Saccharomyces cerevisiae S288C: one gene and its partners. The gene in region 1 interacts genetically with each later gene. Each region holds a gene or a part of one and is shown on either strand. Other genes may lie near its edges.

What was found. Genes that interact genetically often act in the same process or in processes that back each other up.
Region 2: mutations in YBP2 (region 1) and FSF1 together harm fitness more than expected from each alone (negative genetic interaction), as found in Saccharomyces cerevisiae (2 studies listed by BioGRID).
Region 3: mutations in YBP2 (region 1) and AIT1 together harm fitness less than expected from each alone (positive genetic interaction), as found in Saccharomyces cerevisiae (2 studies listed by BioGRID).

What each region holds. Positions count from the first base shown.
Region 1 is NC_001139.9:385,600-393,362, reverse strand, and holds YBP2 (Ybp2p), read right to left. Parts: upstream 3,299-7,763; coding exon 1,373-3,298; downstream 1-1,372. Other genes in the region: protein kinase PKP2, read right to left, coding at 1-1,140; DUO1 (Duo1p), read left to right, coding at 3,652-4,395; PYC1 (pyruvate carboxylase 1), read right to left, coding at 4,631-7,763. UniProt on the Saccharomyces cerevisiae protein: Involved in oxidative stress response and redox homeostasis. Required for hydrogen peroxide-induced activation of YAP1. Acts in a parallele pathway to YBP1.
Region 2 is NC_001147.6:830,559-835,922, forward strand, and holds FSF1 (Fsf1p), read right to left. Parts: upstream 1,485-5,364; coding exon 501-1,484; downstream 1-500. Other genes in the region: VPH1 (H(+)-transporting V0 sector ATPase subunit a), read right to left, coding at 1-16; YTM1 (Ytm1p), read left to right, coding at 2,255-3,637; TPO4 (Tpo4p), read right to left, coding at 3,894-5,364. UniProt on the Saccharomyces cerevisiae protein: Mitochondrial amino-acid transporter that mediates transport of serine into mitochondria.
Region 3 is NC_001136.10:132,226-138,039, reverse strand, and holds AIT1 (Ait1p), read right to left. Parts: upstream 2,145-5,814; coding exon 501-2,144; downstream 1-500. Other genes in the region: INH1 (ATPase inhibitor), read right to left, coding at 2,604-2,861; homocitrate synthase LYS20, read right to left, coding at 3,317-4,603.

The DNA.
Region 1 (7,763 bases):
AGATACTGTTTGTAAACCAGGTAACTTGTGAAAATTATTTAGGGATTCTTGAGCCCTTTCTTTCGATTTACCGAATGACCATAGATTTTCATCATCATGGAGGACGCCCCCAGCTTTATCTGAAATTCTAAACAAATAGGATTCATCGTTACTTACTACAGTTACTATGATTGGTTCCGGCTTTTCTAATCCCTTACGAATATAGTGTTTCATGGTTGCTTCGTAAGTATTTCGAAGGATCTCCCCTAACAAATACTTCAAATGTGTAGGCAAAAAGTAAAAGCTTAGTTGAGTGTCACCTTCGATAATAAATTCTGGCATGGGAATGTCTTTAAAGTACATATCTTGGATAAATTTTTGAGATTCCTCACTGGCTTCCAATAAATATTTTTTAGCGCTACATTCTTGAAAAATATCACCCAATACCAAGGTATTTTCCTCCTTACCACTAGTGTAGTTGGCTGTGATACTGACGTGTTCCTCTACAATCAATCTTCTTGATATTCGAGCTCTTAACAGATCAGATAGTAGTTGGTCCATTTTTTCACGAGGATAAAGATCCAAAATTGTACATTCTAAAGCCCCCATTATCAAATGTGGTAAGTTTAGAGTATTGAAGCCTTCTAGCATATTTTTGATAAAATCTGCAAATTGAGAAGCGTCCTCTAAAGTTCTTATAGTCGGATATTTTCTAAAGCTTTCAAAAATATTGTAATATGACTCATAAACTTGAACAAAATGGAAGTTGTTCACAACATTAAATGGAAGTTGTTGCAATTGATTTAATTTATGCGCGATCCTAATTACCAGTTCTTCTTTTACAAATTTCCCGGAATTGATGATCTTGGTTCTGGTCAGCTTGGTAGAATCGTCATAATATTGCGCTAACTGCGTTAATGATACTGGATTTGGACTTCGTTTTAAGTAATTTTCTACTAATACCGTTCTATTATGATAGTAATGCTGCGGATTGATATATTCGGAATTTGAAGGGTATGCCTTCATGGTTTCCATGATGTAAGGTGCCAATTCTTCATTTACGGGACCAATGCAGTATTTCGTGAAATCAGGGATCTGCGAGATATTAGATGTCCTGAGAAAGTGCCGGTATCTTATGCAATTAATTTGATACTTAGACATAATTACAGAACTATTTATCCATTGACCAATCTCTCACGATCTTCATCTTTTACGTACTTTCTGGGTTCCAATGCAAGTATCCCATCCCTTCCCTTTTTATTCCTTGACGATCGGGCGATGAAATCTGAAAAAAATGAAAGTTTGGATGACTCAAAACATAGTGTTTCCCTTTAATAGAATAATTCGATTTACTCGGGAACAAAAGAGAAGAGCAACTAATTTACTATGTAGTTTACGAGCGTATGTTCATCTCTTCTATATATTCTCCCAGAGTATTATTGGAAATGTTGATGAATGCTAATTCAGGCTCACCTTCTCCTTGAAATGATTCGGAGATTTCTTTATTGATGAGTGTTAACAGACCCAAATCCCATTTGTTCCTTAAACTAACAAAAAATTTCATATATGTTAGTACCAAGAGTAAATCACCTTGCGTTCTTTTCTTTTGCTTGGCGGCAGAAAAACATATTAAAGCAATGCTATGAATGGAAGCCATGCGATCTTCATTAATAGTGATGTAAGGTCTTGGAGGTAGAGTTGGCATTATCGGTACACTATTAGCGGTATTCCCAGGATTCTGTTGTTCGATTAAACCGACAGTTTCGTCACGATTAGCAGCCTCAGGAGATCTAATCATCATATCTCTTAGAATGTCAAGAACAGCAATCTTTGCAGTTATATATGGACAATGTAGTAGAGTTTCAAAGATGAACGTAAAAGATGTGCTTTCGGGCATGAGATAGAGTAACCTCCTCAGAAGAGTAATTTCGGTCAACTTAGTGTCGTTATTAGATTCATTGCAAGTTTTCATCAGTAACATCTGCAAAAAGGCCGTGGTAATGTGCCCTGGAAGTTCTTGTAAGGCACACTTTATTTTCTCTGTGGAAGTCTCGGTTGTGGATACCCATAGCCAGTAGCGTACTGAACTTTCCAAAAACTTATTTTCGTATATTTCTGAAAATAAAGAAGCTGTCGTACACCGTAGATAGAGGTAAATTGCGCTTTGGATATCAATTTGCGGCAATAAGTGAGTACCATTTTTAGAATAATGTATTGCAGATAGAATCACAACTCCATATTGGTCCAGCTCTAAGTTCTTTTCGTCAGCTAGTTTCTTGATTTGATATGCGTAAGATACCTCATATACTAGTTGGTTAATTTCTTCTTTGAATTCGGGCGTGGAAGCGGCCGGGTTCATGAGAAGAGAGTTATAGATGCTTCTTGATTCTACCAGGCACTTTTCTAAAAGTTCTTTCATGTGGACATCCAATGATGTGACATACTCGTAGTATTGGTGGCATATCTGTAAAACTGAAGCATCGATTTCATTTTCATCTGTTTTTTTATGCATCAATGTTTTGAAATATATCTTGTCAATATTACCTGGATGATTTTTTAGGCAGTTGCTAATCACGAATACGCTCAGATTAGCCAGTAGTTTTTTCTGTAAGGCAGATTCATCATCATGAATTTTTTCAAGATCGTTTGTACTAATACCATCGGTCAGACTAGCAGATGGTTGAGCTGGAGAGTAATTAGTACAAAAATTGTACACTATGCGCAAAATAAAGTGTGGATCATCCATAGCCTGAACGTTGGTTGTTACATACTTAATAATTGCAGAAGTTACCATGGCTAGAAATTTAGATGGATATAAAGTGTCCACACGTTTCAACAATAAACTCATAAATTCAAAGAGAACGTAAATTTTCAAATTTGGAATGAATTCTACTGTATTTTTGGCCATATAGTGCCCAATCTCCGGAGTGATAACTGACAGCTCATCAGTAATGTTTGACGCATCATTTCTATTGGAGTCATTTAAATCTTCATTCTCTTCATCGGAGTCGCCAGTTTCAGTTAAGACTATATGGAGTGTTGACACCAATTCGCAAGCGGTCAACAAGCATTCTTTCGGATTTCCATTGATGGCTAGCTCATTGAAGCATTCCATCACACTAGAAACAAGGGGACTAAAAACTAGATGTATATTGACATTGATGTTTTTGCGTGAGAAAAACTGCAATAAACCCTTTGGCAGATCCCAGCCAATTTCCTTTAAGGTAACTGGATTATCCTTAAGTATTTTCAATAGGGCATCCAAATAACGTTCCTTTTCTTTTATAGACTTTCCAGAGTTCACCTGCTCGTTGTACATATCAATGATTGTTACAAGTGAGACAAAATCATCCTTCTCCTCTTGGAAAGCCCTGACAAGGCTTTTACAAATTGTTTCAATTGACTCACCCATACTTTCTGAGCCCTTCCTCTTGACGGTGAGTTCTTTTAGCCTTTTAGACCCAGGATAATATGTATTTTCCTTTATTCTTAGATGAGAGGTTTTTGGACCTCAGCGCAAGTTAGTTTCACAGCGAAACGAAGGAAAAAAGAATAATAATTACAAACAAACGCCAAAATCAAACGCGATAAAGAAAGATAGGCTAAGTAATCTGGACTGGTGACTCAAGTATTACTAAAGAAGATAATTTGAAACTTGAACAAGTCTTCAATATGAGTGAGCAAAGCCAATTAGATGATTCGACTATAGACAAACTGATTCCACAGATTTTCAATGAGATGAGATCTAACCTCAATAACACGACCAATAAATTTCCAAAAAGCACAGGAGGTGGAGCAAGCGATAATATTTCGGCTAACAGCAATTCTATAAGATCGTTTAATTCAATCACAACGCAATCCTTACTCAAAGAATCAGAATCGTTAGATAAAATAACAGCAATGATAAAAAATGTTACGGCCGCATTAAAAAATAACTTGCCAGTATACGTTAATCAAGTACATGAGGTATGTAAATCTACGAATTCCATTTTAGATTCATGGATCAACATTCATTCTCAAGCTGGTTATATTCATAAATTGATGAGCGATCAAACCTATTTAAAGCTAATTAATGATAGACTGCACAATGAAAATGTAAACACAAATGATGAAGATGGGAGTACTTTACACAACGTGATAGCGTTGAAAAAGAAGGAGATCTTGGATTTGAGACAAAAATTAGAAAATAGGAAGGGTGAAAAGGATGCTGCACCAGCAAAGCCACCAAATCAAGGCTTAAATCCAAGGTACGGTGTGCAATCTGGTAGAAGGCCCGTTCCTTCGGCAGGAATTTCAAATAACGGAAGAGTAAGAAAGACCCATGTTCCTGCCTCGAAAAGACCTAGTGGTATACCAAGAGTAACTAACAGGTGGACTAAGCCCACTGCTAGCAGCTCAAGGAAGATGTTTCGCTAAAAGATGCTTTCGGGAATGTATCTAGGATTTATTGTATATGGAATTTAAATCGAAATAGTAGATAAATTAATGATGAAAAAAGGACACGTTAATTGGATGCGTTAAATTATTATTTTTTTTTTTATTTAACTTTTGTTCCTAATTATGTATTAGTATTTACTGGTCGTCAAAAAATAGGAAAGGTAAATAAATAAGATTCGGGTATATTATACATTATAAATGAGAACTAACCGGTTCATGCCTTAGTTTCAACAGGAACTTGGTCTTCTAATAGAACTAATAAATCAGAAGAGTCCACATTTTCACCATCAGAGACAAACACTTCTTTAACTTGTCCATCGGATGGAGAAGATATAATCATTTCCATTTTCATGGCGCTTAATACGGCTACAGGTTGGCCCTTCTTTATTAGTGATCCTTTATGAACTTTAACTTCAACAATGACACCTGCCATTGGTGCACCAATGTGTAATGGATCATGCATGTCTGCTTTGGATTTAGTAACAGTTTCCACTTTTTGTGATCTGTCAGCAACACGAATTTTTCTCATTTCACCATTCAAATCAAAGTAAACTTCTCTTTCACCGGTCTTTTTGTTCAAATCACCCACAGCCTGTAGCTTGATAATTAGCGTTTTACCTTGTTCGATTACAACTTCAATTTCTTCGTCAGTCTCTAGTGGAGACAAAAAGCTTCTTGTTGGCAATACAGATAAATCACCATACGTTTCTCTCATCTTTTGGAAGTCTTCATAAACTCTTGGGTACATGTTATAAGAAGCAACGTCGCACTCATCAACATCACCAAATCTATTCTGCAAGTCTTCTCTAATTTTTTCGAGATCAAATGGCTCTAGTTCCAGGCCTGGACGACAAGTCAACTTTCTTCTCTTGTTCCTTAAAACGTCTGATCTAAATGGTTCTGGGAACCCACCATATGGTTGGCCGATTAAGCCTTCGAAGAAATCCATAACAGAGTCAGGGAAATCCAAAGAATTAGCCAGGCGTCTCACATCATCGGAAGTTAATTTATTGGAGACCATAAATTGTGCCAGATCACCAACGACCTTCGAAGTTGGGGTAACTTTGACAATATCACCCAATAAATAATTGGCTTCTCTGTAAGCTCTTTTTGTTTCGGCCCATTGTTCTCCAAGACCCAATTGTTGGGCTTGAAACAACAAGTTTGTCAATTGACCACCTGGGATTTCATGTTGATAAACTTCTGGATCTGGGCCCTTCAAGTCAGCCTCGAAACAAGAGTATAACAATCTCATCTCTGCCCAATATGCATCTAGTTCACGGACATGCTCAACGTTAATACCAGTGTCAATATTACCTTCTAATGAAGCCAACAGAGCATTGATTGATGGTTGTGAAGTTAAACCAGACATTGAGTTGATGGCAACATCAACGACATCGGCGCCCGCCAGAGCACACGCAGTCATTGATGCAACAGCAGTACCTGCAGAATCGTGAGTGTGAACATGTATTGGGAGATCAGGGTACTTAGCCCTCAAAGATCCAATCAGTAGTTTGGCAGCTGCTGGCTTCATGGTACCTGCCATATCTTTGATACCCAGGATATGAGTGCCCATTTGGACAATTTTTTCAGCAATTTCCAAGTAGTAATCCAAATTGTATTTCTTGCCTGGCTGAAGCATATCCCCAGAGAAACAAACAGTGGCTTCTACAACACCACCTGCCTTCTTCACAGCATCTACACCGACCTTCAATTGTTCCAAGTCATTTAAGGCATCAAAGACTCTAAATATATCAACACCATTATCCTTGGCTTGCTTGACGAAATGGTCAATAGCATTGTCAGGCAATGAAGAATAAGCCACACCATTGGCACCACGCAATAACATTTGGAATGGAATATTAGGCACCAGAGATCTTAATTTTCTCAAACGTTCCCATGGATCCTCATGCAAAAATCTCATTGCAACATCGAATGTGGCACCACCCCAACATTCTAAGGCGAAACGACCTGCAAGGGCATGTGCGGTTGTTGGAGCGATTGTAGCCAAATCGTGGGTTCTGACTCTTGTTGCAAGTAGAGATTGATGAGCGTCTCTCCAGGTGGTGTCCATCAATAAAGTACCATTGAACTGTCTAACTTGTCTGGCAAATTCAGCTGGCCCCTTTTCTAGTAGCACTTGCCTCCATCCGGATGGTGGTGCAGACTTTGTAACGTTGATGACATTGCCCTGAGCATCGTGCAAATGGGGGACACTTGGATTTGATTTTAATTTTGGCAAGCCAATTTGACCCTTGATAGATGAACCATTGACTGCCACGTCGGCGAGGTAATGTAAAAGTTTTTGGGCTCTGTTTTGTGATGAAACCATTTGGAACAGTTGTGGGGTGTCGTCAATAAAAGTCGTCCAGTATGTACCCTCAATAAATACTGGATTGGTCAAAAGAGTCAATAGGAAGGGAATGTTGGTCTTGACACCTCTAATTCTGAACTCGATTAATGCACGAATCATTTTTCTACGAACGATTTCGTAGGTGGAACCGGAGCATGAGCATTTGACCAGCATTGAGTCGTAATGAGGTGAGATTATTGTTCCTGCATAGGCGTTACCACCATCCAGTCTAACACCATTACCACCTGCAGAACGGTACACTTCTATTCTACCGGTATCTGGTTGGAAGTTCTTAGCAGGGTCTTCCGTGGTAATACGGCACTGAATGGCAAAGCCACGAGTCGTAATTTTGTCCTGGAATAGGCCCAGCTGGGGTAGAGAGGCACCTGCCGCAATTTGGATCTGAGCCGCCACAATATCTATACCGGTAATTTCTTCTGTGATGGTATGTTCCACTTGGATTCTTGGATTAATTTCAATGAAATAGTGTCTATTTTGGTTATCAACCAAGAATTCAGCAGTACCCGCATTTCTGTAGCCACACTCTTTGGCCAATTTAACTGCATCTGTCAAAATGGCGTCACGGACTTCACGGGGTAAAGTCTTTGCTGGGGCCACTTCGACAACCTTTTGGTGTCTTCTCTGCACGGAACAGTCTCTTTCGAAAAGATGAACCACGTTTCCGTGGTTATCGGCCAACAATTGAACTTCAATATGCTTTGGCTTGTCCAAGAATCTTTCCACAAAGCAGGTACCATTACCGAAGGCAGTACGGGCTTCGGAGGTAGCACGTTGAAAGGCATCTGCCACGTCGTCACCTTCTCTAACGACTCTCATACCTCTACCACCACCACCAAAGGCGGCCTTAATGATCACCGGGTAGCCGTATTCATTGACGAAGTCAAGTGCTTCCTCTACAGTTTCTATAGGACCTGGTGTACCAGGAACGGTGGGCACATTAGCTTTTGCTGCCAGGTTTCTAGCTGAGACCTTA
Region 2 (5,364 bases), on another chromosome or scaffold:
CCTCCTTCTCTGCCATTATTTTCCTTGTGTAACCTTTAAATGTTTTTTTTTTGATTCAAATTAAAAGGGATTTAAAAGTTCAAACCCTCACTTGTTGTATAGAGAAAGGTAAAAGCTAGCAAATACACACAGGTAGCCCTCTAAGCAAGTATAGATATATTGAGAGGCAAAAGCTATGGACTTATTTGGACTTTTGTTGTTTTGTAACCTCTAAAAGGGTTGCACTCAAGAAAAAAGGTTTTCCATATCGACTTATCTGAGTTTCTTTTTTTTGCTTTTTTTTTTTTTAGCCCATTTTTTTTTTGACGCATTAGTCGTTAATGATGATATAATGTCCACGTGATGACATTTCAATCTGCAACAATAGCTCGGCAACTGGATTACTAGCAGTCATACGTATGTCAGTCACTACACATATATATATATTAATGTTTAACTAATTTTTTTTTCTTATCTATCTGATATTTATTCTATAACTATATAAATTTGTCTCTTCACTTCTAAATACCTCTGTTAAAATAGACCTTTTCAATTGGCTTCCCATCCTTATCCTTCTTGCCATGTAGTTCAGGTTCTAGTTTATTTAAATGGATTGCTTGTCTTTGAGGGAAGATACCGAGTGCAAATGGCAAAGCTGAGAACATTGTGACTGAGATCAACCCCAAATTGGCCAAAGTTTGCACACCGAGAGACTTACCTTTGAGGACACCGCGTTGTAGTCTAACCAAAATCAAAGGTGGGATGACCATAGTTGGAGTGGCGTTAATCACTCTACTTAATGCAGTTTCACCAACTGCCATGAAGGCAGCCTTCTTGGACTTTCCGACTTCGTCACCGTTAGAGTCAAACACAGAAATACCCTTTCTAATTTCGTTGCCTCTCATTAGGAAGACGTTGACAATACCGGCACTGACCACGGCGGCAAATGGCACCAAACGGCCCAAGATCAACTTTGAATGTGGAGAAATGTTTTTCAACCTGGGAACTAGGTTATTTAGACCTAACGCAACACCACACGACGCAGTTACAGCGGCAGCGTAATTGGTGAGCAATTGGGACGTGGACATAGGATGAGATTTGTTTGCGTTAGCGGAATTAACGGCGACGTTTAGCGATTGATTTGCCCATTGCCAAAATACAGTCCCTGCCGTACCCAAACCAGGCGTCAGCATACCTACAGTAACGACTAGGTTTGATAGCACGTTGGAAGACATACGGAAGGGCAAAAGAACTGTCTTCCCTGTGTCCGGATGCACGGTGGAGTCCAGTTGTTTCTTGGCTCGCCAGAACTCCGGAGTAGTCTCTTTTAGTTCACCGTGACGATACGCACTGATGATTTCTCTAGCATGCGCCAGGTCCTTCTCAGTAGTTAACAACATAGTGGGGTCGGAAATCTCTGCGCAATGGCGGATTCTACCCCAATACGTGGATAAGTCATAGCGGGATTCGGGCAAATCGATGGGCCCTGGGACTGATGATGCCATATTTCTCTGCCTTGTTTATTTTTTTCTTTCGATGCTGTGTGGTTTTATTATTGCTAACTTGCAGTGGTCGACGCCTTTGAAAACTGTAAAGCTGATGCGAAGACCTAACAGTCTCTTATCCAATTACCTCAATCTGGTACGCTCCGGTACCGGACGCCAGTACGAAAGAAAAACTTTTCGTTCGTCTCGGGCACCATTGGTATAAAAAGCGCCGAGGCAGCGATCATTTTTCTAGTATTACTCTTCTTTCATTTTTTAGTTATCTTTGATTTTCGGTTCCGAAGAAGGCATGATACATATTAAACATGCCTTCTATTCACTGTGCCATCTTACATCCGTAGGTGATCAGAGGGGAAAAGAAGAGCTAGAGCAACTCCCACACTCATGAGCGTCCTCATACTGTTCTGGGCGCTTCTCACAGGTGCTTCTTTTAGTGTCTCCCATTGGCCCAGATCGGTAGCTGCGCGAGTGAGATATCTTTCATTCATTTATATTTATCTGTAGCAATAGCTTCCTTTACTATTTTATTCTTAGGGAGAACTTTAGCTTATTTCTTGCACAAGAGGGTTTGACAGTTTTCTGTTACCCGGCCAGTACTTCAAAAATTTTTCAAAAATTTTCTGAAGTGCTCATCTCATCGCAAACCGTAGGAGCAGTGAAAGGCATATGCTCATCTGTATAATTGCAAAAAGACATATTCTATGTTCGCAGAACCAATACGTTACCTAAAGTTTTAAAGACAATACCAAGGGAAACTGCACAAATTCAATATGACAGAAGATAAATCGCAGGTTAAAATCAGGTTTTTCACGCGTGAGAAAGATGAATTACTACATGTACAAGATACTCCAATGTACGCCCCCATCTCATTAAAGAGATATGGGTTGTCCGAAATTGTCAATCACTTGTTGGGCTCGGAAAAGCCTGTTCCTTTCGATTTCTTGATTGAAGGTGAATTGTTACGTACTTCATTGCACGACTATTTGACCAAGAAAGGTTTATCGAGCGAAGCCTCGCTGAATGTAGAATATACCAGGGCAATTCTTCCACCATCCTATTTGAATAGTTTCAGCAATGAGGACTGGGTTAGCTCATTGGATGTCGGCGACGGTTCCAAGCATATTATTAGTGGTTCTTACGATGGTATAGTTCGCACCTGGGATTTATCAGGTAATGTGCAAAAGCAGTACAGTGGTCATTCTGGCCCAATCCGTGCAGTAAAATACATTTCCAATACAAGGCTAGTTTCGGCTGGTAACGACCGTACTTTGAGATTATGGAAAACCAAAAACGATGATTTGAAATTAACTTCACAACAACAGGCACAGGAAGACGATGATGACGAAGTAAACATAGAGGACGGTAAGACACTGGCTATCTTGGAAGGTCATAAGGCACCAGTAGTCTCTATTGATGTTTCAGACAACTCAAGAATATTATCTGCATCATACGACAATTCTATTGGGTTCTGGTCTACTATTTATAAGGAAATGACAGTTGTTGATCCATTAGAAGATATAAACAATCCAAACAATAAAATATCCACTGCTGCTAGAAAAAGGAGAAAATTGACAATGAAAGATGGTACCATTAGAAGACGTGCCCCTCTGTCTCTGTTAGAATCCCATACAGCTCCTGTTGAGCAAGTGATCTTCGATTCTACAGATAATACCGTTGGTTATTCAGTATCACAAGATCATACCATCAAGACATGGGATTTGGTCACCGCGAGATGTATAGATACAAGAACAACATCGTACTCGTTGCTTTCCATTGCTCAATTGTCGACTTTGAACTTGTTAGCATGTGGGTCCAGCGCCAGACACATCACATTGCATGACCCACGTGTGGGAGCGTCTTCCAAAGTTACTCAGCAACAACTAATTGGTCATAAGAACTTCGTTTCCTCTCTGGACACTTGTCCCGAGAATGAGTATATATTATGCTCGGGTTCTCACGATGGTACCGTGAAGGTATGGGACGTCAGGTCTACTTCTCCGATGTACACCATAACAAGAGAAGACAAATCGGTCCAAAAGGGCGTCAATGACAAAGTTTTTGCTGTCAAATGGGCTGAAAAAGTGGGTATTATCAGCGCTGGTCAAGACAAAAAGATTCAAATAAATAAAGGAGACAACATTTTCAAAAACTGAGAAAAAACTGTTGTTGTTTTTATGTAGAATAATGTACTGATATACTTGAAATAAATTTGGTTTTGCCAACAGCTTTCGCAAATTTCTGTCACCTTCTTCTTTATGTAAAACGACATTACTTGCTAAAAAAAAAAATACTTCTATGATAATGTGTACTTGTATGAAACTTCTATAAATTTAAATTGGTGAATTTTATCCAGCTATCCCCCAATTTACTATTTGAATATATGCAATTGTGATCTGTCTTAAGACCTTTTCAAACCATTCTGGCGGAAGCATCGGTGGCCATTTCCGTATACGAATAACCGTCTTCATTATCCTTGATAGCTGAGTATAAACTATTGGAAATGGGTTCATTACGATTTTGCGCATGTTGCCCGTCCTCGCGATCAAACGAGGCAGGAACGGGCTGCGTATGGGTCCTGCGCAGAGATAGCCTTTCACCTGGTTTTTCTCTAGTCGAAGGGTCTGTTTCCATGGTCCTTAACGTGGTCATCCTTGTTAGATTCAATTCACCATCGACAGCATTTACGTCATCTATACCACCTTCGGTCTCAGCCTCCTTTTCCATGGCGGCATAACCAAATTGTGACTTGTGTCTTAATTTGCTCCCCCATTTTTCAAAAACCCATGGAATTGGAATCATCACAACGCAAACTAATGCAAATAAAGTGCTTGCCCATTTGATTTTCATCTTTGTGTACATTTGGATGGTAAACAATGGGAATACACTACTCATAACGTATCTTAATAGATTATTGGCAGCCAAACAGGATGCCACAGTTAATGGCGGATAGCATGTAGAGAAGTACATTAAAACGCTGAAAAAAATCAAAATTAAACCAAAACCAAATGGCACACCGGCAGCCACAGGAGCCATCCAGTGGACATCTGATCTAGCAGTCCAGGCTTGCCAAAACAGGCCGATAGGCAAAGCTACAGAACCAAATTTACAGGCAATTAAAAATTTTTCTGGAACAACGGGTAGCAATTCACCTGTTTCAGCGTCTCTTGCACCTCTGTAAGGGGTAGTCCTTTTAGAAGTTCTCTCTTTTTCGGTGAGTGGTTGAGTGCCAGCTGGTGGTTTAGGGAAGAGATATTTTCTGTCGATGTAAAGGTAAAAGAAAGCACCTATCCATAACCCGACACCAATACCAATAAATGGCAAGCCAGATATCCCCATAGACATGTGGTAAACACCACGATAAATGACAGCGTATGCTTCGAAAAATCCAAATAAAATGGCGAATATGAAAGCGACATAAACACTGAAAACAAATACAATAGGTTCAACGACAAGCATTTTTAAAGGCCTTAAGATTGTAATAGTGACAGTGGTTTTTAAAAATTCTTTCTGAGCTTCCCTGCTGAACTTCTTCAAGGCTATATTTCTCTTCTTGGCACGCTTTCTTAAAATAATACCTTTATGGGTCTCTGGCATGAGCGCAATAAATGGCAAGATTAGACCGCCCGCAATCAATTGGATCCATTCAGACCAACGCCAGCCTTTGGCTTCAGTAGCAAATCCTGCCATAATAGGAGATAAAACTGGCCCTAAGAATGGAGATAGAACAAAGTATGTCATTGCGACGGAGACCTGGTCCACGTCAAAGATATCCAGGATGGTACCTGATCCAACGGATAAGGCGGGGGATGCAAAGACACCTGATAAAAACCTTAGGGGTAGAATTATTCTCATGTGGCCATTGGATAACCCAACACCCATG
Region 3 (5,814 bases), on another chromosome or scaffold:
TCCCTTGTAAGATTATCTACTTGAGCTGGTTTTTTTTTAGTGCAGCAATAAAAAAAAAAATTAGTGACGCTGGTTTCCGCGCAGCGCTAATTTAAGAATTTTCAATATTGCCAACAAATTTTATCTTGGCAGTTATGAATGGAGGCCAAATTGTAGCATACAGTGTGAGCTCCATATTGCCAACAAATTTTATCTTGGCAGTTATGAATGGAGGCCAAATTGTAGCATACAGTGTGAGCTCCATATTGAATGATGCATGATCTATTTTCTTTTGGACAAATTTCTACCTTGCATAACCTTTGATTGATGAACCACTGATGTAGTTAAACTTTTAAAGTAGGGTTAAAATGTCCCTTTAATATATTTTTATAATTACTTACAGATTGTTGTTCTTATGTAAATTTTATTATTAAGCTCCACCTCCCCTAAAGTAAAATGGATAACATAAAGATTTTTCAAGATATGAACACCCTAATATGTGCACGGTCGTTACTTATATGCTATATATAAACTGTTGAAAGTATTCCCGTTACAAAAACAAGAAGACTCCAAGAAACCATTACTCCAAGTACAAAAGAATCATTTCTTGCCAAAGCCCTCCAATTTTTGACTAGCTTCTTGCAGAATCTTAGTAAAGCGGAGTCGTTGGTCATATCATCATCATCCCCATTTAAACTACCATAATATAACGTCGTATTACCTAACAACTGGCCTGAATTCATCCCGAAGTGACCCGGGCTGCTATTTATTACATCAGGACTATCCATCGAAATGTAATTAGCACTCAGTGGATGTTGGTACTCTTGATTTGTAGCTACTCTCTTACTGATAGTATTTTCGTCGTCGTCCTCAAACTCCCCCTGTGAATTATTAAACCAATCGTCTAGCTCTCTTCTTAAATATATCGAAGTGTTGATGAGGAAGTTTAGAGATATGAAAGGAATTATTACGCATAAGATGAAATTTGAAATGGTTCTTGAGCCGAAGTAGTTCACCACGGGAGTAAATAATCCTTCATGGCCGCGAACATAGACGAAATACATCGACAGAATCAATGATTCCCCAATTGTCAACATGATATTACTACCAACTACCAATATCATTAACAATAAACCGGTGACCAACTGGTATGCCGTGCTAAATGCAATAAATCTCTTTATCGGTGTGAAGCTTTTAGTAGTATTTTGTGTATTTTCATTAGGAACTGCCCATGTATAACCAAAAGATTTCTTCAAAATGGGCTGTTCTTCGTCTATGGGGAAACTCAAATCACCCGTATCTAGAGTTGTCAACTTTAATGAATTGTCGATGGGGTTCATCATGATAATTGTATCGTCCTGCGAATTATCTGGTACATGCAGCTGCTTCTTATTTTCATGAGGTTGCTGTCGTATGCTGCCATAAGTTGATGACGATGAACGTAGAGGTTTGATTGGATGGTACTCAGACGAGTATACGTTATTCGATATGGAAGATGAGTCATTTCTTACTTCAATACATTTGGACAACGTAATATCACTTCTGTCTACGACGTTGGGGCGATATTCTGTACTACAACCGCAGTCATCGTTATGGCTCATATCATTATTGTTACAGTAAGTGTTGGCGCTTTCCTGGTGTGTGAAGCCACTATTAATGTTTGGATCGGCGATTTCTTGGTAGTTAAACAAATTCCCTATTATGCATATGGTGAATTCACCCAGGGCCCATGATATACCAAAGATATAGGCTTGTCTTGGAATGATGTGCCAAGAACATTCCTTATGCTTGATCGTACCGCCTTCGTGATCTTGCACCTGAGGGTACGCTAAACCAATCAGTATCAAAAGCATAAAGACGTCGTTGATAGGAAAATCCACTATCAGGTTCAATATTAAAAACCTTTGATTTATATTGAATAGAAAGGTCTTCAGGAAATAATAAAGAAATGGTGAAAAAAGCCCCAAAAGAAAGGTCCTGAAATAGTCCTGCGAATTTGGTTTGAACATCAATGGATCATCATACTGGTGTAGCAGTAATTCGGACGACGCATAGAATAGTGAAAACAGTGAAATACTAAACAGCGCAGAAAGTATCACTATGTGAGGCCTTGTGGAGCAGAAAATAGGCATAAAATATGATGCTGCATGATTTAATCGGACCATATTCAGATATATTTCACAGGTATCTTTCTTTTGTGTAAAGAATACGAGGTATGATTTAAAACGTCAAAGAATGGAAGAGAAATTTTGAATGCGAAGAGATGCTAAGTATATTCTTGGTGTTAGGCTAAGCTTGTTGAAACAAAAAAGAAGGAATTTTGAAATTTCGTATCTTAAGTATGGACTATTGACGTTATTTGGAACTTTTCCATGTTCCACACTGTTCCTATCTTTCTATGCCTTTCCGCATTGGGACGAACTTTGCGCGAAGTGGAAATAATGAGTGACATTAGTCAGACAGACAAGAGGAAAATTCAAACCAGAGGAAAACTAGAATGATAGTTATCGAAAATGCAAAAGCTCAGTGTGATGTATTATTATATAGTTTTTCTGCTGTTTGACTATAAAAGAGTAAGAATATTCTAAAAAAAAAAAAAAAAAAGCTTCTGCGGAAACGCATGATTATTTGGTCATCGAGTCAATTTTATTTTCCAAAGAATCAATCTTCTTTCGTTGTTTTTCCAGTTGTTCTTTCAAATGGCGTAGTTGCTCCTTCTCACGCTGCCTAACGAAGAAGTCTTCCGTGGCCCTTTCCCTTTTAACAAACGAATCCTCTGAGCCTGACCCTCTTGGGGTGCCGGTAGAACCTTCAGAGTAGAACCTTGCGGCCACACCGCGCTGTAATTGCAATGAGCGTGCTAATGCTGAACGTGGTAACATATTCTATTGTGGAACTGTATAAAAGTGTGCTGTAGTAATGCGTGTAAAATGCACTCCTTTGGGATAGCAAAAACAAATTCAACCACGAACAAATTCAAAGAAAGTTTTAAACAAGATACAACAAGTCAAGTTATGAACCCCTCCTTCTCTAACGATTGTTAACGCCTTTTCTAGCCCCAAAACCTCGTTGCAGTGGAAAACGATGGGTGTCAGCAACTAGACAGTTGATTGGCATAATTGTGAATATCTGGATATTTGGTACCCGCAGCAGCCTCCCCTTATTCTGCCGCGAATGCGCGCGTCTGATTGGCCCGGCATCACGGGAGAGTAAATCTTCTTCTTTTAATGCGTATCGGACAAAGTAGATGGGAAAAAACATCATTTAGATATGTAGATGTAGATGCTATATATCGTATGTAATAAGTGAAAGAACATAATGTAATGGTTTGGGAACGTTAGGCGGATGGCTTAGTCCGCTTGGCGGCGGGGATGGTGGCCAGTTCCGGTACATCGCTGTCATTCTTCTTGTTCTTTTTTGCAGATAGTACTTGAGGAGTGCTGACCTCTGCGTGGAAGTTCTTGATGATAGAGTCAACATCATCGATATTCAGCGATCTGACATCACCCAGCTTCTTAATCTTAGCAGTAACTTCCTTGATTTGGTCATCCGTCAAGTTCAAGTTCAACTGGTCGACTCTGGCTTTGATGGCGTTCCAGCCAGTTAGTCTGTTGGCGAAGTGGATATACCTCTTCATACCGAAATCGTGAGGGTCCAAGATTTCGTAGGTAGATGGGTTAGCCAAAATGGCCTTGGCATGGATACCTGCTTTATGTGTGAATGCACAGAACCCGGTGATAGGGTTGTTGAATGGAATGTTAACTTCCACAGCATCAGCGACCAGGTTTTCAATGTCTCTGATCTTGTGCAACTTGTATTTGGACTTGACATAGTCTGGTGCGGCAACAATCATTCTTGCCATGAGCCCACCTAGAGGAGTGATACCGTTTCTTTCACCAATACCCAGTACACTGACGTCAATCAATCTGGCACCACCTTCCAAAGCAGTGTAGGCGTTTGCAATGGCACAACCAGTATCGTTGTGGAAATGGCATTCGATGTCACATGAAACAACACTCTTCAAAGTTCTGATCAGTTCATATACTTGTCTTGGGTTGGCACATCCAACTGTGTCGGCAATACCGACTCTATTTACACCGATCTTGTCAACGGTTTTATAAATGTTCAAAAGATCAACGAGATCACTTCTGAAGGAATCTTCAGAGGAAAATCTGATTTCAATACCTTTGGATTTGACAAATTCAATGACTTCAACAGCACTCTTGGCGATGTAGTTCATATCCTTACCGTGGGAATATTGTCTTAAAAATTTGGAGGTGCCGATAACGACATCGACACCGTCGACACCAGTCTCTACGGCGACTTTGGCGTCATCCATATGACAACGAATGTGTGTAAGGATCTTGGCCTTTAAACCTAGTTTACATATAGCTTCACAGTCCTTTCTTGATTGTTCAGATGCTACTGGTGAGGTTAACTCGATGTAGTCCACACCGAAATCGTCCAAGGCTCTAGCAATTTCGATCTTTTTTTCAGTATCGAAGAATGCGTTGGCAAATTGTTCACCTTCTCTCAGCGTCGAATCGATTAACTGGAAATTATTTACATTAGAAAGATAGTCGCCCGGTTTGGCAGCATATGGATTTGGTTTAGCAGCAGTCATCTTTAGGAAAACAATACAGGGTCCTTCCTTTGTTTGTTATGTAGATAAGAAACAAGAATAAACTAAACGGGAACATATCAAATACACTTTATCGATAAGCAGCCAATATCATTTATATATATCATCATCGGGTATTTAAGCAGGTGTAAAAAATGGCCAGCGATGAGGCCCTTAAAACTTGGTAATAATATTACTCACGCATCATCGTCAGCAAGAACCTAAAGCGCAAATTAAATTATTGCCTATTGCTCTAATGTCGTCGTCGTCCACTACCGAAGAGAAAATTCCCCAGCAATTTTGGTCATATTTTTCAACCATGAATAAGGGATAGTGGGACAAGGCCAGGCCATTGTGACATTACTCATTTTTTTGCCACTTGCAACGCTAGTAACGCCGTATCCACAGAGAAACCGGGAGTGGCGCGAAGAGATCTTTTTTTTCTTTTACTACGTGTGATCCTCTAAAGAATTCTTTTTCTCAACCTAGCAAAGTAACCCACGCTTAAACTTCCTTGCAGAGAGTTCCCGTCGGAATTTGTTTTTTTCTTACTAAAACTACGCAATATTCCGGCGGAATTTGACGCAGACGTAACATCAGTCATCAGTTAATTTAGAATAACGATGAGCCAGCTGATCGGGTACTGTGGACGGAGTTTATAAGGAAGAGAAAATGCTGAGTGCATTAGTCATAAGAGAGGAGCGTGATCTGTAATTCCCTCTGCCTGTGCGGATCACTTCCTACAATTTATTTTGTAAAAGAGAGCACGTCTGTAGTTTCAAACAAAATCACCAACTGTGCTTTGTTCGAATACCCAGGGAACTGTTTGTTCGTCGAATCGAGATAATAGCAAACAAGAGTCTCGGTTGAGTAAACGCTCATAGACAAGAAACTAGGAACATGGCTAAAATCTTGCATCGATGTAACATTAATATAAATAGTTTGCAGCAACCGATTTACACAAAAACTGAATCTCAAGCGCACGCAGTATACCAAATTTGGTTCCTAGAGTTTTTTATATGGGCGGCTAACCTTGGAGAGATCAAAAAAGTGTACTTAACTACGAATGACATTTTAGAGGGTTTCAAGCGTATTATAATGAGATAATCTTTCAGCTGGTAGCAATTATGGTCTAATAATTTTTCGTTTATTCGGCCCTCAACCATTTGTTGAGCTTATACCGATTTAGAGCCCATAAAACGTCGTGATAATCC